3 linked regions of the Stegostoma tigrinum genome follow. The protein of the gene in region 3 interacts with the protein of the main gene of each other region in a pairwise test. Links are inferred from orthologs where the notes say so. Each region holds a gene or a part of one and is shown on either strand. Other genes may lie near its edges.

What was found.
Region 1: the proteins of kif2a (region 3) and la-related protein 1B-like interact in binary tests that used the Homo sapiens proteins (3 or more experiments, as listed by UniProt). The two-hybrid records come from large-scale screens. The link is inferred for Stegostoma tigrinum from reciprocal best matches to the Homo sapiens genes KIF2A and LARP1B.
Region 2: the proteins of kif2a (region 3) and fam13c interact in binary tests that used the Homo sapiens proteins (3 or more experiments, as listed by UniProt). The two-hybrid records come from large-scale screens. The link is inferred for Stegostoma tigrinum from reciprocal best matches to the Homo sapiens genes KIF2A and FAM13C.

Annotation. Positions count from the first base shown.
Region 1 is NC_081354.1:29,669,912-29,677,518, forward strand, and holds the start of la-related protein 1B-like, read right to left. Parts: upstream 3,018-7,607; 5' UTR 2,871-3,017; intron 2,726-2,870; exon of another isoform or gene 2,379-2,725; intron 2,362-2,378; exon of another isoform or gene 1,764-2,361; intron 1,435-1,763; 5' UTR 1,349-1,434; coding exon 949-1,348; intron 1-948.
Region 2 is NC_081373.1:50,601,930-50,609,925, reverse strand, and holds the start of fam13c (protein FAM13C), read left to right. Parts: upstream 1-4,898; 5' UTR 4,899-5,092; coding exon 5,093-5,296; exon of another isoform or gene 5,297-5,479; coding exon of another isoform or gene 5,480-5,500; coding exon 5,501-5,648; intron 5,649-5,949; coding exon 5,950-6,003; intron 6,004-7,996.
Region 3 is NC_081354.1:120,260,530-120,267,979, forward strand, and holds the start of kif2a (kinesin-like protein KIF2A), read right to left. Parts: upstream 3,073-7,450; 5' UTR 2,927-3,072; coding exon 2,866-2,926; intron 1-2,865. UniProt on the Homo sapiens protein: Plus end-directed microtubule-dependent motor required for normal brain development. May regulate microtubule dynamics during axonal growth. Required for normal progression through mitosis. Required for normal congress of chromosomes at the metaphase plate.

The sequences.
Region 1 (7,607 bases), about 91 Mb from region 3:
TGGGGGGCGGGGGGAGAGAGAACGGGCGTCATTCAAACTGCGCTGTAATACTAGATGTGCTTTCGTCAGCAAAATCGGCCACTAGTTTCAGAGGGAATAGCTGCAAAAGAATTGGGATAGATGGATCGGAGAGAAATCTAACAAATTCATATTTTTCTAAATTAAAAAATGAACACAGTCTGTTGGAAACAGACATTATTCACAGAAAAAAAACAAAGTTTTAAACCACAGGTAGGATTATGGGTACAGCAACTTGGATTTTTATCGTCGACTTGGTGATATCACTTTAACAGTAGGAAGATCAAAACTGTTGACTTTCTAAATTTATAATTTAAGTTAGCAAAGCATAGGTCCTAATTATCATGTATACAGTTGCGTCAAACTCAAATTTGATCAAGTTCCCTGGAATAAACATGCAGTTAGCCAATTACGTCCTTCCTCCAACAACTACACAAAAAACGCCGATGTTACCAAAGGTTATTTAATTTAAAATAATAATCTTGCTTAATTTTATTTCAGAGTGCGTGTAAACAAACCACACCTTTCAGATTTGCTTAATCTGACGCCCTTTTATGTAAATAAAATGGATGAATGACACTTACGAAAATGGCAACAGCACGAAAACATGGACTGTCTACAGATTTTTTAAAAAAACACTCATTTTAGAAGATCTGGCTCCAAAAAGAATCAAAATGATGGGCCACTTGCTGCACCAGACCTAAAGATACAACAATCCAAGCATTTTTTTAAGATAGCACATCAGATCAAGTGATTGTTAAACGCTCGTTTTAAAATGAAAACGTACCACTTAAAATCACAACTTTGCGATAAGTAACATACTACAGGTGATTACAGAAGTAAAGGTCGTCGCTACTTGACCATCACATTTGCAGCTTTCCTTCAAGAGAACTCAATCATACTTGAAAAATACAAATCCCGAGCACAAACCTGTCTCCTGGTTGTTGACATTCACGCTGTTATTCGTGACCATGTTTTTCTTCTTGGTCCATGGGTTGATTTTAGGAGGAGGTGCTTCAGTGAATTTTTTCTGCAATTTCTCCGCCGAATCCCTCTGGCTTCGATCGTTTTCCTTATTCTCAGCGTCAGTCGCCACCTCCAGCGGGCCGCTCCGCTGTTCGGACTGGTCTCGGCCTCCGGGCTGTAGCTCTAACCTCCCCAATAGATCGTTGTCCGCTTCCTCGTCTCCACCAGAAGCCGAGGACAACGTGGAGCAGTCACGGGTCGTCTCCTCTTCAAAGCCACCGCCGTTACTGCTATCGGATGGCTGAAGGGAAGTACCGTGATCTGCAGCCTGAGGCAGAGACGATTCAACTTCGGTGGTCATCATGCGCGGCACGGTTAGGCCGGTGCCCAAATTCACCGCTCTTCCTTCGGCCTTCCACTAATAATTTGCTTTAAAATAGTCACGATTTACTGTTAAATTAAAATATAAGATGGGCAATTACAAAGGCGTTACCTCACTTTAAAAATCTGCCATTGATAGTAAAAGCATAAAGGCAATAAGTGATTCTCCCCCACACCTGAACAAGAGCAAAGTTAAGGAGATTTAAAAATGGATGGGGTGAAAACGAAAGAAACACCTGAAAAGGGGAATAAAACACAGCCGGACCAGCGTGTAAGCAAACAGCTGTTCTAAATATTACTTGAAGGCAGGGAGATTGCAGAATATGTATTCTAAGGTAATAAATATACATGTTATTTAGGTCTTGACGTTAATAACGACCATGCGTTCTGTTGCTCACCTCCCCTCAGGCTGCTTGTTAGGAGACTAGGGTGTTGGGGCGGGGGGAGGAGAAGGAAGTGAAGAGTCTGATCAGCTGGTTAAGCTTTCACCAGATCTCGGCCACCACGTGCGAATAAGTGCTGCGCCTCACACCGAAGTAGGCCCTGTCTTAGGAACACCCAGCCGGGCCAGGGATCTCATCCTCTCCCTGGGGCCTGGGGAACACGCCACCGGCCCGGTACCCCCCTAGCCGCTTCCACCAGGGCTGGAAGAACACTTCGCCGGCCCCGAGGCCCCATCTTCTCCCTTGGGGCCTGAGGCACATTCCGCCAGCCCCCATCCTCTCCGCGGGGCCTGGGCGTCAGTCCGCGGCCCAGAGGCCCCCATCCTCTCCCCGGGATTGTCTCGCTATACACCATTGTTACGCCACCCAGCTTGTTACTGTGGAAACAGGCCTTGTTTATTGTTTGTTTCCCCAGATCCCACAGAAATTTATTTCTCAAATTATCCCCAAAATACGTGAGAAATTTGAATCCGGGGATTCCATAACGGTCATTTAGGGGAACGCGGCTGCCACAGGTCAATTCAATGCCATACATCAAAATGAAGAGTCATGTCCACCTCCTCATCTTACCTTCGGTCAGGACCTAAAAATATACTCTCTCTCTCAGGCAAATCGTGTATTTTTAAGGAAAAAAACTCCAGAGGGAAAACGTGTTTTCTCTTTTAGGTTGAATGTCTCAGCGAAATTTCTTATTCGGGGGCACAGGGAGGAGAGAATTAGAAAACGAAGTCCTGCGGGGAATTCCAGATTGCGAAAAGCAGCTGCGAGCGAATTGAAAGCAGGGACCGGGAGAGGACGACCCAGCGTCACCACCAGCACAATATGGTGGACTTCAAAAATAAAGGACGAGCGGCACCCCTTCGGAACTCGAGCGTTGCAACAAACGTGGTTCCACGCCGCCGCCGCCTCTTCTACTCCACAACCACAACCCCCCCCCTTCCCTTCCCTTCCCTTTCCTTTCCCTTCCCCTTCCGAGACCACCCAAGGCGGAGCTGTCTCTCCTTCTTCTCTCCCGTCTTCAATCCGAGGAGGGCTCCGATTCTTCTTCGTTTAACTACACACCTCCACTTCAACTCCTGCACCCCCTAGACCGCTGCCATTTTCTTAAGTTGACACATGCTTTGCTCCCACCATGTTAATCGACAGCTAGATGCTAGCGCTGCGCCTGCGCACTGCCCGCTTCTTTTTTTCCGTCCTCGGTCGTTCCGAAGATAGAGGGGGTGGGGCGACAGGGGTAGGTGTGAATGGGCTAACGCATGCGCCGTTCCACTTTCTCCATCCCCCTCCCTACGCCAACAAAATAGGTGGTGGCCGACATTTCTCCTTCCTTTCAAATCACGCCGCCGGAAATGTGTGTGCACTTTGCAGCGAGCTTTACCGAGCAGCAAGCCACATGCGCAATCCAATCACTGGTGCGTTGGCAGTGAGCGTTACTTGGTTTCCCAGACCCCATGCAAAAGTAATAACGCCCGGTCTCATCGGTCTTTCAGAAAAATGCTAATTCAAGTGGTTTTGTTTGTGCTGTGGGCTATGCTGGCTTCCTGCAGCAAAGCTGGGCCCACGAGTAAAAGGAAATCAAAAACTGTTTGTTTCGTCTGGAAGATACATACTCAGCCCATCTTATGGGCTCAGTAATTAAGTCTTGTTGAATAGAATTTAAACATAGAGCTGTACTGGTGAAGTGGTAGTGTCCCAATTTCGGGTTCAAATCCCACTCGTTCCATGAAGATATAACATCCATGCGTAAGTTGATGAAAGTACCTACAATTTTAAACGTGGATATCTGTTGGTGCAATGCACTGGACTATTAGTCACGGGTTCAAGTCCCACGTGCTCCAGAAATGTGTAATTACGTATCCGATCAGTTTGATCTACAACATTTTAAGCATGCCAACACACTTAAACTGCGAGAAAATTTCTTAAATAGAATAGATTTTGTGAAAATAAACACTTTACTGAAAAATACACATTTTATCAAAGCATTGCGTCATGCACTAATCGGTATATCGATTAGAATTCAAACGTAAAAGGGATCAATTTCTATACCAACTGAGGCAAGTGGAGTCTGATCGGTACAGCTAATAAACCAGTTGTCTCTTGTTGAGAGACAAGCGCAGTGTGTGACATGGTCTTTCGGTCTGCAAATGGGGACACTGTGCGTTAATATATGTACCTTTCAGTGCAGACAAGTGTGCCATGCTATGAGCAGAAATGACTAAATTACATTGGTTATCATCATATTTTCTAGCACACTCGAGGTTTACTAAGCAAGTATTGCATAAATACTTTGTTTGCTAAGAACAGATGAAAGGACATGTTATTTGATACCATCTCCTAGTTTTTGGGATGTATAACCTAAATATTTAGCATCAGACCAATACTGAAATTCACTTACCAAATTATTTATCTGTCTGATCGGCAGAATATCTTGTTGGCTACATTCATCAGGGCAATGTCTTGATAAAAAGTCAACCTGCACGTTTTAAATTTACACAAATTGTGGCAGTTAAATGTCAGTTATTGTCTAATGGATACATTCTCCATGGCAATGTCCTCATTAATTGGAATCCAGTTGCTAGTCAATTGGAATTCACTTTTATACAGTATAAAATGTTGCTTCCCTCTAACATAACTCTTAACAGTTCTACGAAATAATGTGTCACTCTGTTTAGGGTTAATTAGGAATGGCCTATAAATACAGGCATTGCATAACCAGTGACAGTTTTTGATGAAGTTATGATGGATCTGTATATATTAGTCAGGCCACAGCTGGGGTACTGTGTGCAGTTCTCATCGTCACACTGCACAAAGAATGTAATTGCACTAGAAATGATGCAGAAAAGATTCACCAGGATATTGCCTGGGCTATAGAAATTCCACTATATAAGAAATCAGTTAGGCTGACGTTGTTTTCCTTGGAACGGACAAGGCTGAGCGGGTGTCTGATTGAGGTATACAAAGTTCTGAGGGGAGAAACATAGTTCATATGGAGAAAAACAGTTCCTCTTAATAGAGGAATCAATAACCAATGAGCACAGTGTTAAAGTAAGAAGGAAGAGGTTTAGAGGTGATTTTAAGGGAAAAAGTTCACTGAGAGGCTTGTGAGTATCTGCAACTCTGCCTGAAGGGATGGTGGGGAACACCTCACAACATTTCAGAACTACTTAGATAAGCATTTTAATCATTCTAATGGGATTAGAACAGATGGATATTTGATGATTGGCAGACATGATGGATTTAAAGGTCTCTCGTAGTAACAACTCTGACTATGACAATGGCTCTCCATGATCTAAATTCCATGAGCAACTAAAAACAAAACTTCTTTCCAATTCAGTGCTTGCATAACCCACTGTATTAATACTTTGATTAATTTGTAACCACCACTTTACCATTGGTAGTTTGGAAGGCCTATGAGGGATATTGAGATTTCAGAGGCTACCACAATAGTGAGTGAGGCTTAAACAATGAACAAAAACAAAGTTGCTGGAAAAGCTCAGCAGGTCTGGCAGTATCTGTGAAGGAAAAAAGAGTTAACGTTTTCGGTCCAGTGACCCTTTCTCAAAACCAGACCCAAAACATTAACTCTATTTTTTTCCTTCACAGATGCTGCCAGATCTCCCGAACTTTTCCAGTAACTTTGTTTTTGTTCCTCATATATAGCATCTGCAGCTCTTTCGGTTTTTATTGAGTGAGGTTTACTTTGATTTAAAAACTGCATATCTCATGATAGATTCTGAAACATTGACACATCTAAAATTTTACAACAGTTTGCAGTCAATTGTGCTTGTCCTGTTCACAGGGCAAACCTAAGTGTGGAGTTTCCCATGAATTTGTGGAGGGCAACAGAATATGTGACATAAATGATTATAGCTTTGAATTGCATGATGTACAATATGCTGAAATCGCTTCAATTTTGACAATCATGTGAAATGAGAGAAAAAAAACATTTTCATACAGCCAGTGGTCTGGGTTTGGAATGCAATGCCTGGAAGTCCATTCAAAGCAGGTTCAACTGAGATATTCAAGAGGGCACAGATGACCACTTAAATAGAGGCAATGTGTAAGACTATGGGGAAAAAGAGGTTCACCATTAAGTCTAAATGCTCAGAAAGCAATGGCTGACTCATTCGGTAAATGGCTTCTGTGACCATAGTAACAATTTTATGATATATTTTTGATCAAGCTGGGAGTCAACAGTCCTAAAGTCTAATTTCTTCATTTAGTGCAGATATATAACATTAGCGTGAGGTAGACTGATGCATTTTTCATGGGTCTTGTGGTGTAGTGGTAGTATCTTTACCTTTGAAAGAGGAGGCCTAGGTTAAAGTCCCACCTGAGTTTATAATAATATCTCTGAAGAGGATGGTTTGAAAATATCTGATGTTCTACCTTTCTCCAGGCTGTCATTTCCACTGTCTGGTCATTTCCTTTACCGACTGCTTTTTCCAGGCTACTTGACTGCGTTTTTTCCTGGCACTCTGGTCAGCAGCAAAGACTTCACATGCTTCATGCTGATCCCTTGGGATTTTGATCATTTGGGATCATTGGATTGTAGACATAGGTCGCCTGTTGTTCTCATGCCAATAGTACACTCATCATTGACCATGTCTTTGGAAATGTAGCTGTCACCCATGCAGTGCATGTGAACAAACCAAGAGGTGCCACTGACTCCTGACAGCAAACACGCTCTATATTATTGTATTTTAGTAATCTGTCCTAACGGGTGATGCTTAATACTCATATTAGGTAGCAGAGGTAGAATCTGTCTAAGTTGTCTATGCGTTGCTACTGTAAAGAAGGGTGTTGAGACACAAGCCAGGATTATGTGGAGCTTTGTATTCTTGGTTAGTTTGCCCCACACTCTCATTCTCAATTTTGACATGACAATTGCAGCTTTGGCAAACCTACTTCTGATTATGAGATCAAGGGACATATTTCTGATAATGGGTGATCAAAGGGATGTTAAGCTGTGGATGGCTTCCAGAATGAGATTGTTGATATTGATGGAAGGGTAAATCACTAAGCCCTGGCTTACAACTTTGATGCTTACTGCCAATCCAAATTCCTTGTTGGCCAAAAAGCACTGATATACAGGCTGCTGCAAGTAAGCTTCAGTATGGGCTGTCAGTGCCATATCGTAAGGAACCAGCATTACATACCTGACAAGCACCACTTCTCACACTTGAAGTGCTGTATAAATGCAAATTAACACATGATTCCTCCAACTGTTTTTTTGTGCATAAGCAATCTTTGAAGTACAATCAGATTTTCAGTTTTTTAAAATGTATTCTGCAGATGTTGGCTGGGACAGTGTTTATGCCCATCCTTAGCTGTCTTCAAGAAGATGGTCTTGAGCTGCCTTTTTGAACTACTGAGTCAAATTTGTGTAGGTGAACACACAATGCTATTAGGGAGTTCAAGGATTTTGACAGTGAAGGAAGAGCGATATAGTCCAAGCCTGAACTTTCAGGTTGCAGCGTTCCTGTGTAGCTGCTCCCTTCCCCTTCTAGACGGCAGTAGTGAAAAGTTTGGAATTTACTGTCCAAGAATTTTGGTGAATTTCTACAGTGCATTTCGTAGACAGTAAATACTGCTGCTGCTGTGTGTTGGTGGTGGAGGGATTGGATGTTTTGGATGTGGAGGCAATCAAATGGGCCGCTTTGTTATTAGTTATTCAAGCTTCTTGAATGTTGTTAGAGATACACTCTCTCAGGCAAGTGGGATTATTCTAGGACACTCCTGTGCCTTGTAGATAGTGGACAGGCTTTTGGAAGTGCAAATATTTTTAGCCTCTGACCT
Region 2 (7,996 bases), on a different chromosome or scaffold from region 3:
CTCAACTCTTATAGTAACAGTTTTTTTTTAAAAAATGTCATTTGGGGGACTACAAGAGAAATCAATCAATGCAACATGAAGAAGACTCTAATATTGTAAGCCTAACAGTCTCTCTCCCTGTAAACACCAACACCAAGCCCCCCACCTCCCACAATCTGCCAAATCATGGGAATGAATGTTAATGATAGAAAGATATATCTGATGGTTCATAATAGCAATGAGAGACAGTTACTTTCAACCATTATTTAAATTATTGGGATTCCCCTTCCAGGGTAATCTGAGGGACCCTGGGCCCCACTCAGAAGTGGAAGACATAGGCCCTTCGATGAGTTTTGTGATTGACAATAAGTAGTGATTTGATCAGGTTATCTGTTACCATGCAGGATGGTTTAGATATGTCCTAACTTATTATTAAGCTCACACAGTGATCAGATGCCTAGGTCCTATTCACAATATTGTCAGTAATATTGATCTCGTAGCATGTCAGACATTAGTAATTGCAATGTGTATATTGATCAGCGAGTGTAGGATTTTGATAAGTACTGGTTAAGAATCCATTGTCAGACTTCTCAGCTAATGCATCAAGGAAAGGGACCTCATTTGATTGCTCCAGTGCAATGGTAAATTTGAGCACAAGTTGGATCCTATTATGCCGTGTAAAGAAATTCTTTGATGCAGTTACAGATTTGCGTATTGCAAATCTGTCACAATGCCAGGGAGTAGAAAGTCAGTGCTCTTTCCAGCAAAGGTATTTTGTCATGGTGCCCAACAAAGATGCAAACTCGGGCAGGATCTAGACAGTGTCATGTGGTAATGCCATCGATTTGAAAGTACATAGTGTCATTAAAACTGAACACATTAATGTGAGTTGTTAATTTCATGACATTGGTGAATATCTTGATTGCCAGGAGGTAGTGATATAGTCCAAACATCATTGGCTTATTTGTATGGTATGTTGCTAAATAAATTGGTTTTCTAAACCTATGTGCCTGTGTTTGGCCAATATCCCTCTAAACCTTTCCTATCCGTATACCTGTCAAAATGTCTTTTAAATATTGTAATTGTACTTAACTCTCCCACTTACTGTGGCATTTAAGTTAGATCCATGCACCACCCTCTGTGTGGAAAAGTTGCTCCTCCAGTCCCCTTTAAATCTCTTCTCTCCCACTGAAAAACTATGCCCTTTTGCTTTGGATTCCCCTACTCTCAGGAAAAGACCTTGGCCATTCACCTTATCTGTGACCGTCACAATTCTATGAACTTTTACAAGGTCACCCCTCAGCCTCTATGCTCCAAGCAAAAAAGTCATAGCCTCTCCTTTTAACCTTCCAGTTGTAAATCTTTTCTGAGCCGCCTCCAGTTAAGAGGAGGTGAGAATTCGTGGCGTGGATGGCTGAATACATGCAAAAGATATCAAAGATATGAAAGAGGCAAGAATCGGGAAGAGCACAGAATTCTGACAGGGTTGCATTGGTGCAAACATCACTGCCACCTGGATTTGTGCTCTGGCTACTGTCTCCATGGGCTGTTCTGATCCCATGGACTCAAGCCTGCATTATTCTACCCTCATGGATTCTACCTACAATGAGGTTCAGGGCATCGGGTGTCTGTAATGCACGCTAGAGGCTACTCCTCAGAATTATGGAGGAGCAGGATGCCATTCAGCCCATCGTGCCTGTACCACCTCTTCAAATGATCATTATTACATCATTACAAGCTCCTGCTGTTTCATACCCTTGCACAGTATTTCGATCGAAATACTCATCCAATTCCCTCTGCACTGTCTCAATTGAACCTGCCTCCACCAAACTTCCAGGCAGTGCATTCCAGAAAGAAACTACTCACTGAGTGAAAACGTTCTTTCTCACATCACCTTTGCACATCATTTTAAATCCATTTTCTCTCATACCTCTTCCTCTTACTGTTGGGAACAGCTTCTCCCTACCTATTTTGTCAGCCTGCACATGGTTTCGAAAACCTCTATCAGATCACCTCTCAGCCTTCTTCTTTCCGAGGAGAAGGGTTCTAAATTCTTCAGTCTATCCTCATCACTGAAATTCTTCATTCCTGCAGTCAATCTTGGAAACACTTTGTTAGATTGTCCCTTCTCAAGAGTTTGCTCCATCTCTGTCCTTTACCTTATCTCGTAAGTTCCTAAAAACTCTTAACATTCCAACATGCAGAATACTGGAAACAGCTCTCCAGTATCACTTTTCCACTCCTCCCTCTGCAAAATCTTGATAACTATTGACATCAGGAAACACACGTACCCACTAACACAATGCTGCTGTCAAGCCAAAAGGTTGTTAAGCTTACCACACAAATAACTAACGTGATGTGAGTTTCAGTGTTGGTGCTGTGTTAGGTATGTGGGCTTTGTATCCAATAACTGGTGGGTCAAATTAAACACACACCTCATTGACCATTCACAGTGGACACCATGCAAAATGTGCTTAATCAGTCTGTTCTTACGACACACAGAAAATCATGTCCACCATTAGAAGTGATGTTGCGACTGGAATTACTTTACTGAATAATCTTGACTATGCTAATAGTTGCACTGGAAACCAATTTAAAATCGTCAGTGTGATGCATTTACAAGTGTCGGAAGTTATATGTACAGGACCTTGTTTGATATAGGCAAAAGGACTTTGGCCATACCTTGCACCTTCTTCAAAACTGGACTCATAGAAACAAGTGTGGAGCTGGATGAACACAGCAGGCCAGGCAGCATCAGAGGAACAGGAAAGTCAACATTTCGGGTTGGGGCCCTTCTTCAGAAATGGGGGTGGGGGAAGGGAGCTCAGAAATAAGGAGAGAGAGGAGGGATGGGGCTAGCCAAGGTAGTTGGGAAGGTGATAGGTGAGTGCAGGTAGGGAGTGGTAGGGATTGGTCAGTGAGTGAGGTGGGAATGGCAGATAGGTGGGAGAGAAGATGCACTGGTCAAGGAGGTGGGGATGAGAGGGAGGGTTGGATACTTACAGTCTGACCCCACAACTAAAGATATATTTCCCTTCCAACCCCCATCTGTGTTTTGTAGGGACCGCTCTCTCTGTGACTCCCTCATCCACTCCACACTCCCCATTAGCCCCACCACCCCGGCACCTTTCCCTGCAACCGCAGGAAGTGCTACACCTGCCCCTACACCTCTCCCCTCACCTCCTGTTAAGATCCAAAACCTTTCACATCAGGCAGGTGTTCAGCTGCACATTCGTCAATGTGATTTACTGCATCCGCAGCTCCCAGTGTGGTCTCCTCTACATTGGTGAGACCAAGCAGAGGCTCAGAGACCGCTTTGTAGAGCACCTACGCTCTGTTTATGAGAAACGACAAGACCTTCCATTCATGAACCACTTCAACTTCCCCTCCCAGTCCTGGGGTGGCATGTCCATTCTGGGCCTCCTCCAGTGTCACAATGACATCACCCGCAAACCGGAGGAACGTCTCATCATATTCCGCCTCGGGAGCCAACAGCCCGATGGCCTAAACATGGAGTTCACTGGTTTTAAAATCTCCCCAACCCCTGCCTCATCTCACGTCCAACCCTCCCTCTCATCCCGCCTCCTTGACCTGACACAACTTGTCCATCTTCTCTCCCACGTACCCACTCCTCCCATCTCGCTCACTGATCAATCCCCACCACTCCCTACCTGCATTCACCTATCACCATCCCAGCCACCTTTCCCAGCCCCACCCCTCCTCTCTCTGCTTATTTCTGAGCTCCCCTCCCCATTTTTGAGGAAGGATCTAGGCCCGAAACGTCAAACCTTCCTGCTCCTCTGATGCTCTATGGCCTGCTGTGTTCATCCAGCTCCACACCTTGTTATCTCAGACTCCAGCATCGGCTGTTCTTACTATCTCTGATTAGAAACAAGTGAAGCATCCCCAGTTGTAGCACCCAACCAATCAGATTCTACCTGACTGGCCTGAGAATCTGAGATAACAAGGTGTGGAGCTGGATGAACACAGCAGGCCAAGCAGCATCAGAGGAGCAGGAAGGCTGACGTTTTGGACCTAGACCCTTCTTCAGAAAGACCCATTTTCTGAAGAAGGGTCCAGGCCTGAAACGTCAGCCTTCCTGCTCCTCTGATGTTGCTTGGCCTGCTGTGTTCATCCAGCTCTATACCTTGTTATCTCAGATTGTCCGGCACCTGCAGTTGTTGCTATCTCTGGCCTGAGAAAAAGTTTGGCAGTTAACTGTTTTTGATTGTTTCCAAGGCAATGACCAATCAGCACCCTCTTCTTCTGCCTGTATTAAACAGTGTCCTGTTGGTCAAGCCTGTTTCTTGCCTCCCAATCCTTTTGAGGGCAAGATTACAAACCTTCAATGTCATATCATTTATCAGTGATCTTTCAGATTCTCCTCAAAACCTACATCTTTAACCAAGTTATTTGCCCCGGTCCCTTGTTCAGTGTTCCTGTGTGCCTGGGTTTTCAAAGTCATGATATTGTACAAAGGCAAGTTGTTGAAAAGTTACGGAAAATGCATTAAACCTGAGTGACAGAAGTTGTTTAATTTGTCTTTTTCATCCTTGTAAATAATGTTCCTACTGACCAGTATGCTTGCTTTTTTTTGAGGGGGACTTTTTAAAAAAAATGTAGTGAGGATCAAATGATGAGTATATGAGGAAGCTGCAAGTTGAGCCTCATTCAGGCTGGAATTGGCCGGTTTGCTGCTGACAAGACGTGCAGGCGAGCATATTTACGTGCGTGTAACTGCGCATGTAGGTCCAGCGACCGAGGGTCAACAGTGGATACAAGCGAGAGATGCTGGTAACGGCTCCTTTTATCGCAGTCATGCTGCCCGGAGCCTTTCTGCTGAACTGGGCTCGTTGATGTTGAAAATGAACAACACGTTTATTACAGAACTCTGCCCAAAGAATACGGGGGGAAGAGAGAGAGAGAGAAGGCTTCACCTCTATCTGAATGGATTAAAAATACATTCTGCTGACTTTTAGTTTGCAACTGATTTAAACCCACGCTGGCGAATGCGAAACAAAAATCAATATTCCTCCCCAGGAGGAAGACAGCTGCTGCAAATGTAGACTGATGGATTGCCTGGCTCAATCTTTACTATCCTTTCCGGGATTTTATGAATGGACTGCACTGGGAGGGGCCAATTGTCAGCAGAGATGATGTCAGCAGGCTCGATGAAACTATTGTACAGATGCAGCAGGGTATTCATGAGACTATAATTTCAATGCTTTGTCAGATTGGCTGGCTGACAAGCACACAGACTGCTGACGGAATGAGTGTTCCCCGCTGCTGGCTTGACTCACGATTGTGCTGGTTAAAGGTGTTTGAGCTGCAGAGCGCCAGCAGCATGTCAGTCCTCGCGAGTAGATGGTTTTAAACTGGAAGTGGCCCTTCACCCGAGTGCTTCAGGGTGGAACCGCATCTCTTTGCCCCCGCACCCCCCCCCCCCACTCGCCAGCCTTGGGCAGGCCTGGCGTCCGTGCTAGCAGCATTTCATGGCATCATGTTCTGCTTTTGTTTGCAGAACTCCTTGATGAAGCTGCAGAGCTTTGACATTGACCTGTGCTCGTCGTTTTTACCGAGCCCCGAGGAAAGTCCTGGGACACAAAGAGGCAAGGAGCAACCCCCTCAAATCAATCGGAACGGGGCTGCTGATGAAGGAAGCAGTGGGGGTAAGATACTTAATGCATTTACAGCAGACTGTTAAAAGATTTAATGTCTTATTGTTGGATGCAGAAAGTGTCCTGTGCTTTGCTGTCCAAATGGACGCCTTAAAATTCATTTCACGTGCTTTAGCAAAACTGCTGTCTTACAAATCCAGGGTGTCAATCATTTTGTTATCTTGTTTTAAATTCAGTTTTGTTGTGCTTTTTTAAAATCATTGAAGTGGATGTTGAGTTTCCTTTACGACAATGAATGTCTGTCCTTCCGTTCCAGTTTTGTTTTATTTGATACGTTGTTTTGTTTTATCAGAGCGCGCTGCCCCAATTATTGATTTCAAATTAATGCACCGGCAGGATAGTGACGGTGAGTACCTTCTGTCGTTACACACTACCATTTGAAACTCGGAAACCTGCCCTTTTAACCCAGTCACATTACTGCTTGTCTCCCTTAATAACCGCAGCGTGTGTGTGTGTGTGTGTGTGTATGGGGGGGGGGGGTACCTTATTTATATTGTACCCTCACTTACACTCTACAGACACGGTGTGGATTAGTTCAGTAATACTTGGTCATGAGCAGGAGCCGGTCACAATTTGTTTCTTTCGCGTACAAACCAGATTTTCATTTTCGTTCATAATTGGGTTGTGTTCTTGAGTTTGAAAGGGCTGATATCACCGTTTTGCTCAGCTTTTGAGTGCTCAAGCCACGCACGTCAATCGTTCCTGTCCACTACATAGCCACAGAGTAGTCCCAATGCATGAACGACACTTGACCCATTTAGAAACGAGTTGGAAGCATTTGTTGGAACTGGATGACAGCCTCCGTGTCATGGAGTTAGCGGTGATATTGGTTCTTTAAAAGCTCACGGGTTGAAAGTCAGATTTTGAATGTGTCACGTTCTTTCAAGAGATTTTGTTTGAACAATGCAGGCTGTAATTGAATTTGCAGGTGTATTGGCACAGGATTACGAAAATAACTGATTTCACTATAAATTCATGAGGACCTGGTTTAACAGTGACGCATAAGCTCAGCTGGGAACTAGTCCGAAGGGCAATGGATCCATTCAAAAGCTGGATTTTTTGAGGGGTAGTTATCTCATTGCAGACTTATACTTTAGATGTTTATAGATCAAGCACTTAATATTTGCTGACTCCTGTGTGGTCATGTGCTGTTTACATGGAAATACAGCTATTAAATGCTCTTTGGACTGCTGGTTTGGATGGTAATAAAATCACAAGATGCTCTTTATTATAAGCCTAAAGCAATATTTCTGAATCTGAAGCAATTAACTTTTGACTAGAGACCTCCATCAGGTAGTAGAGGGTTTGAGGTGTGTTTCATTCTGATGAAGATGAAATCCAAAAACAAAGCTCTGAACAATTGCAAGACCGCAGTCAACCGTATCACTCATTACCCAGACAGGTTGGGAAGCTAAGCACATAAAAGGAGGTCAATGCAGTGTGTATGACGTTGTAAATGATCCAGAACAGCCAAGTAGCAGGAGCATATCCTGACGTAAATTGTGTGAAATCAAGTGTCAGGTGTATGTGAGTTATCCCAGCGTGAATAGAATGGTGTCAACGTGCAGTGACTGAAGCTACCGAATGTTAATGTAAAGGGGACCCAGTATCTGTGATATAGGACTGGGGACACAGCGGAGATTCTCTGTTTAGTCCAGAGAAGAGTCGTGAATGGTAATAAATAGAGATGTGACTCGGTTGATCATGTACCACCACAGGGTTTGAACCTTTTTTTTTGTTTGCACAGATGCAGGTGAGATTTTAAAATTTCAGTGCGGCTTTTTGAAATGGAGTTATTTTAGATTTTTCACGGTTTAACAGGCCTTCCTAATGCTCCTCATTGTCCACTGGGAAGATAATTGTCAGGAGTAGAAGGGTTGGTAAAAACAGAGCGGACCAGGGAAGCATAGCAAGGCATGAAGGTGCATTGTGCGGGGTTGAGAGATTTTTGCGAACAAAAGGAGCTGCAATAAAAGCTTTTAAAGAAAAGAAACAAAGCGACTCACCCACAGCAGTCCCTTGAGTCACTGGTTAAATAGCTCGATGCCTGCTGTCAACGTTTGAGCTGCCGGCTTCAACAGGGTGTTGGGATCCTGTTCATATTGAGGTGCTAATTAGCATATTCAAATGAGCATGTCAAGTGAAGCAGAGCTGCCGTGGGCAGTGCAGGAGGACCGACTAGTGTGATTCTTAGTAGACAAGAGTCTAGCTCTCTAAGCGGGTGGTGGAAGGGAAATTGAGCCCAAGGTACATTTTAACATCGCTCGACGTCCAACGTACCTGAAAGAGATTGGCCTGCAAAATGTTCACCCAATTCCATTTCAAGTTGCCATGAAATG
Region 3 (7,450 bases):
GTAAATAAAGGAGACCACTGTACATGGTGTTCATTTGTCTCAACAAGACATGTGACCATATGAGCAGTGGCAGACTATTCAAGCCACTAGGGAATAATGGCTGCCCAGCAAAACTGCTCACTGACACCTCCTCTTTCCAAGATGTCAGGTCAGCTATATTGGCATATCAGACGCCTACGAGATCTGCAGTGAGGATAAGCAGGGTCATATTCTGGCACATTCTTCCCTTCACTGCTGATATTTAGCTTCATGTCATCTACAGCTAAATACCAAAACTGGCAGAAAGCTGTTTGTCCTTACTTTGAATCTCAGATAAGCATTCTATACTGAGCAACACCTTCAGTGGTAAATAGATAGACTCTCAAACTTGTAGTGTAACATGGACATCAGTATTGGGAAAACAAATGTCACGGTCTGGGATACCATTATTTACCAGCAACAGAAAAGTAACTTTGGATGTTAGGTAACAAGGTGTGGGGGTGGATGAACACAGCAGGGCAAGCAACATCCTAGGAGCACAAGAGCTGATGTTTCGGGCCTAGACCCTTCTTCAGAAAAGCCTTTTAATCAGAAAAAAGGGTTTTTCTGATTAAGGGTCTAGGCCCGAAACATCAGCTTTCGTGCTCCTAGGATGTTGCTTGCCCTGCTGTGCTCATTCAGCCCCACACTTTTATCTTGGATTCTCCAGTATCTGCAGTTCCCATTATCTCTGACTTTGGATGTGGTTGACAGCTTCACATTCAACATCACCCTAATGCTGAAAATTAAAACACCAGTTACAAAAGCTGAAACTGTTACTTCCAAGCAAAGTAAGAGTGCGGAATAATTTCAGCCTCAGAATACTGATCAAGGCTCCCAAGCATGCATCCTAATAACATAGCTCTGCAGTGTTCAGACACGGACAATATATGCTAGACAGGAGTAAAGGGTGAACAGTTTCCACTTTAACTGTCTCAGGCATATCATCAGCACGTCTTGACAAGAAAAGGTCATAAACTCAGGAGGTACCATGCCAATGCTGGCCCACAGTCCACAAGTGAATTAAAAAATTCCATCAGCATACACTCAGTGCTAAACTAAATGGTGTCAGCACAAACTTGGTCACATGAATCAGATAGATAATGGCCATATATCCAAAGACATTCACTGTACTGAAGTCGGCTCTGGGTTAACCCTCCGGGATGCCCATACTTCCTCTACAATGACATCTGAAAACATGTCAAAGGTGGTCAAACATATGCTAACAGACACTAACAACTGGGAGACAGGCGCTGATAGCCCTGACCTCGACAGGCAGGCTGCTTGGAACAGGTGAACAGAAACAAAACAATAGCTTTGGGGAAAGGAGGGGTTGCGAGGAAGAGGTGATGAAATAGGCCAAAAAAGAATCTTGATTCAAAATATCAACAGTTTCCCTCATTATAGATGCGGCCAGAACCCAGTTTCTCTAATTTTTCAGATTTTAGGTTGAGCTCCTTCTCAGCCTATTGTCTCCCTCTCCAGCAACTGAAGAAAAAAAAATCATGGACAGTGAAGCACCTACATACCACCAAGCAATATTTAAAAGTTAATCATCATGCACGACCAATCATTTTACTCTCCTGGGTACCTTTCTTTGACTGAGGTTCCACCCATTTTTCATAGGTGAATGGAATAAAAAAAGAAATTGCTGGCAAAACTCAGCAGGTCTGGCAGTACCTGTGGGGAGAAAGCAGAGTCAACATTGTGGCTGGTGACTCATCAGAACTCCCCAGGACAAAGTACACAACCCCAAAGATGCTTTCAGAACTGAGTTTCGCCTGCAATTTCAGTTTGTGATTCAGGTCTCCAGCATCTACTGTTCTTTGTCTTAATTTTAATGCAGCACGTGAATTGGGTTTTCCCAGTGTCAATAACAAATAGAACACATGCTAACATATTAGCTCTGTACGTGTGATATTACTGTGTGCAAACTGATGTTAAACTACTCTTGTGCAGGAAACGTGACAATGGGACTTCATTAGCTCCTTAGGAATGCTTAGAAATCACAACAGACGAAAAAGGAACCTCCTTTCACAATTGTGAACTTAGGTTGTCCAGGAGAACGAGACAAATTCCAGAATACAAACTTTATTTCTTGATAAAGGGGTTCCAGAATCCGATCAAAAACGTCTGTACAGAAGCCATATATTCCTTTCCAAGAGCCTCACACCCAGTTGACACCAGTAACAGGCCCTTCGTTCTGCCAAATAATAGAGAAGCACAATGCGCACGCGCAGTCTGCAGCAGCGCCGCAGCAACGCGCACGGCGAAGACGGGAGGGGCGTGTCTGAACACATCGACCCCCCGCCAACTCTTTTGAATGAACTCTCCTCACCATCACCGACTTCAAACCTTTGATTTTCTTGTTTTTATTTAACACAAAGAAAACTGAAAACGTCCGAATTTCTCCCTCACACAAACACCAAAATAAACTGACTCTTGCACAAGGAGAGCGCTTCGCCTTCGCCCGGCTCGCGCCCGCCCCCCCACCAACGCGCACGCGCCCAACCGCTGCTTCTCGACGAGAGCGCGCTCCGACAGGGCGTGATGGTGGCAGTAACAAACGCCGGCCGCCAAATACCGGCGGGGCTAGCACAGCCGGCGCGTCTCCGAGACAACCGAGTAATTAACACCTTCGGGGAAAAAAATAATCTGTCAACCGAACTCCCTCCTTCCCCCCCCCGCCTTCTCCCAGCCCTCAGCTCGAGAAAGGGTCACTCAGACAGCTCCCCACCCAGCTCTAGCGCAGAGGCGGCCGTTGCTAATGTTTGTTGAACCGTCTCCTAAACAATGATCCCGAGAAGAGGCGCTCAAAAAAAAAATCCGTTCCCCACTTCCACTAACCGTCGCTCCGTTTGATTTCGACGTAAATCCCGATTTGGACTTTTCCAAAATTGACAGCCATACTTCGTCCGCTAACATTCGTCGCACGATATCACAGTTGATTGGAAATGTATTTAACCGTTGACGTTTTCTTTCCCACCCTTTCAAGTTTGCTGACACTTCCTCTATTCCCTCTCCACAATTACCGGGCAGCGAGAGTAGCGCCAGCACTACTGCGCATGCCCAATCACCTCCCCTCAGTCAGCTCCTCATCAATATAAAGGCAAAGTGGATCTTTCTCCTTAATCTTGGGATTTTAATGCTACGCCGACAAAAACCGGCTATTGTTGTCGTTTCCAAGATAACCCTCTTTTTGAAAAGTATGTATCCCGCAGGGGTATAATAAGGATCAAGAGAGATGCTCCAGTTGCTCGAAACAGAACCAACACAAAGGAAGATGGTGTTTGTTAGAAGTGGATGAATCACACAAAAAAAAACCTTCACGTGCTGGTAGAACAATTCATTTATGCACTCAGTCCAGATGTTTAAAAACATCTACTAAATCTCAAGTTGAGGCCTAACCATCTTTTATCCATGCTTTATCATAATTTGCTTGTTTTGTCCTCAATGCCCTATTTATAAAGTCTAGAATTCTGTACATTCAACCACTTTTTCCTACTCTCCTTGACACCTGACATTATTTGTGCATGTATACCTGGGTGTGGTAGCACCATGGTTAGCCCTGCTGCCTCACAGAGCCAGGAACCTGGGTTCAAATCCACCCGTGGGTGACCACTGAGTTTGCATATTCTCCCTATGTCTGCATGGGTTTCCTCTGGGTGCTCTGGTTTCCTCCTACAGTCCACAGATGTGGCAGGCTAGGTGGATTGGCCATGCTAAATTGCCTATAGTGTTCATGGATTTGTACATGAGGTGGATCATAGGGAGCTAGATTTGGGTGGGATCCCCTGAGGTTCAGTGTGGACTTATTGGGCTAAAGGGCCTGTTTCCACATTGTAGGGATTCTATGATCAGGGTTCTTCTGCCCTGGCACCCTCTTCAGAATTCTATATTTTATTGTTATATTGACTGTCAACGTTCTTCCTTTTAAAATCACTTCATCACATCTCTGAATTAAATTTTACGTGCCCCTTTTCCAAACATTGTATCATCCTGCCTAAGTCCATTCATGTCAGATGACCCAGAGACCATTTTTGGAAAACCAGATATGACCTCTGCAAAGCCACCAGGGATGACAAGAGGGAGTACCAGACAAAGTTAGAGGCCCAAAGCTACCAAACAGACTCCTGTCCCCATGGGAAGGCCTAAATAACATTATGGGATACAAAATTCAGCAAAGCAAGATAGCGGCCAAAGACACAATTGTTCTTTACATGCTCGATGCTTTCTAAGCTTAGTTTGAGCAGAATGCCAGCGGCACAATGACACCTGTTCCCTCCATCGCTGCTGCAGATTTCAGGTCAGTCTTCCTGAGAGTCAACCCAAAGAAAGCAACAGACCCAGATGGTGTCCTTGGCCAAGCAGTCAGATCCTGTAAGGACAACTGGTGAGGTATTCACTGACATCTTCAACCTCTCCCTCCTATAAGCTGAACACTCCACCTGCTTCAAGAAGACCACCATCATCCCCATACCTAAGAAAGCGCATGCAATGTGCCTTAATGATTACCACCCAGTGGCTCTGACCTCGGTAATCATGAATTACTTCAAGAAGTTGGTCATGTCCTACATCAACTCCAGGTCATGACAATCAATCTTGAAGCTTATTGCCATCATTCTCACAATTCACACAATTTCCAAATTTTGTGTAATTTACAAATTTTGAAATTGCTCTTTGCTTACGAAGCCTCGGTCATTAATATAGATAAAGAAAAGCAGTGCACATCAGACTCTCAGCCTGTCTCAATCCCCTACAGTTTGCTTATTGACATAACAGGTCCACAACTGGATTCTCAGTTGTCTGACCCACAAACTGCAGTCAGTGAAGATAAGTAACTCACCTCCTTCACAATAACACTCAACACTGCCCCTAAGGATGAGTCCTCAGCCCTCTACTGTACTTCCTGTACACTCTCGTCTGTGTTGCTAAATTCCGAATGAATGCCATCTACAAGATGGATGACAATACCACTGCAGTTAAGATGGATATCCAACAACAACGTGGTGCAATGAGAACAACTCTCTCAATGTTGGCAAAACTAAAGAACCGATCATCGACTTCAGAAAGAAAGGAGGGGAACACATCCCCATCTACATAAATGGAACTGAGGTTAGAACGTCAGGGAAAGTGTAAAGTTCCTCAGAGTGACGATAACTGACAAGCTGTTGTGAACTTCCCACATAGATGCCACAGTCAAGAAGGCACAACAACACCTCATCTTCCTCAGGCAGCTCAGGCAATTTGGCATGTCCATAACGACCCTCAGCAACTTCTACAGATGCACAATTGAAAGCATACTGTCAGGTGTCTAACGGCCTGGTATGGCAACTGCTGTGCCCAGGACCGTAACAAATTAAGGAAGTGGTGTGCACTGCCCAGACCATCACAGAAGCCAAACTTCTACCAGTGGACTCCATTTATAGTTCGCTGCCCCGGAAAGGTTGCCCACATCAAGAAAGACCCATCAATATCCCATCAGTGATCTCTTCCATCAAGCAGAAGGTATAGAATCCTAAATACATTCACCAGCAGGTTCAGAAACAACTTTTCCCCAGCCATTATTAGACTGTTGAACACACTCTATAGCCTCAAATAATGCTGATCTTCCTAATGTTGATCTCACTTGATGCATACCCCGTGCAATGTAACTTGTATGCCTCTAACTAAGTCTTTTTACAACCTCTAATCTGTACATCCTTGCTTAACATGCTGTACTGTTCGTAAACAAAGCTTTCATTGTACTTTGATACACATGACAATCAATCTTGAAGCTTATTGCCATCATCCTCACAATTCACACAATTTCCAAATTTTGTGTAATTTACAAATTTTGAAATTGGTCTTTGCTTACGAAGCCTCGGTCATTAATATAGATAAAGAAAAGCAGTGCACTTAAAATGAACTCCTGGACAACATCACAAGATAGCACTTCCAGTCTGAAAAAATAACCATTGGCCAGTTTTAGAGATAATAGGAACTGCAGATGCTGGAGAATCTGAGATAACAAAGTGTGGAGCTGGATGAACACAGCAGGCCAAGCAGCATCTCAGGAGCAGGAAAGCAGACGTTTCGGGCTTAGACCCTTCTACTGCTGTTGCTTTTACTCCATTGCCCAAACTTTACTGCCAAGTCTGTTATGTGGCGTTTCTTCACATGTTTTTTGGAAGTCCAAATGCTCATCGACAGCATTGCAGTCATCAACCTTCACTGATACTTAATCAAAAACCTCAAATTTAGACAGGGATTAGCTGTGCAACCTTTTTAAAGCAAAATTATAACAGATGCAATTCTCCAGGGCTCTGGCCCCATTCCTGCACCTAAGGAGGAATGGAAGATTAATGTTAGTGATTCTACAAATTCTACCCTTACTTCTCTGGATGCATCTCATTCAGCCCCAGTAACATTGTTTTAACCACAACCAGGGCTGATTAAACCATTAATAAGGTTAGACACGAGGTCGGTGACTATGATATGCTATAATCACAATATATGAGAATTTGTGAAATTTCTTCCTGACAATCATATCTATGGTAATGGTAATTGTTTGAGGCTTGGTATACTTTGACTCAGAGATGTTGAGTTGGAGTTGCAGATATGGAAGAACTTTAGGAAGGAGGAAATTTACATAGATATTTTTCTTCTCAGAAGGCAGTTAAAGTCAGGAACAGGATTTCATTACTACAATGCTCACAGCATACACTAGCACGTTATAGACCAGGACTTCTATCAGCTTTTAATCACAAAAATACCTTTCCCCCAAACTGCTCCCTTTTCTTTCTTCATGTTCACAGTCTAAAAATTACCGTTCAGTTTGCAGTGCATCTGTCCCTTTGAAGTTATTTTCTTTAAGATTGATTTGACACCTTTCAGCTATGATCTTCCATGATTTACTTCAAGGCTGAGGATACTCCACACAGCCCATTTCAATCTACCAGAGCCTTATTATCACAAATTACATTGCTCAGAACTTACAGCCATTTTATTTGACTGCATGTCCTCTTAAAAAAAACAAACATGTAATTAACAGTTCAGTATGCCACTAGCTGATCCATAGTTACTACCCATCATCATGCAGAAATAGTAACAGTCATGTTTTGCTCATGTTGAGGTTGTACAGGACATGGATGAGGCCTCTTCTGAAGTACTGTGTGCATTTCCAGTCACCCTGAAATAGGAAGGATAATATTCAATTGGAGAGGGTTCAGAAAAGATTTACCAGAATCTTGCAGGAATGGAGAGTTTGAGTAATTAAAATAGGTTGGATAGGCTAGGACTTTTTTCACTGTAGCCTGGGAAGTTGGGAGGTAATCTTATAGAAGTCAATAAAGTCATGAGGTGCATAGATGAGGTAAATTCAAGGCTCTTTCCCTTAGAGTGAGGGAGTTCAAAACTAGGGGGCATATTTTTAAGGTGACAGGAGTAAGTT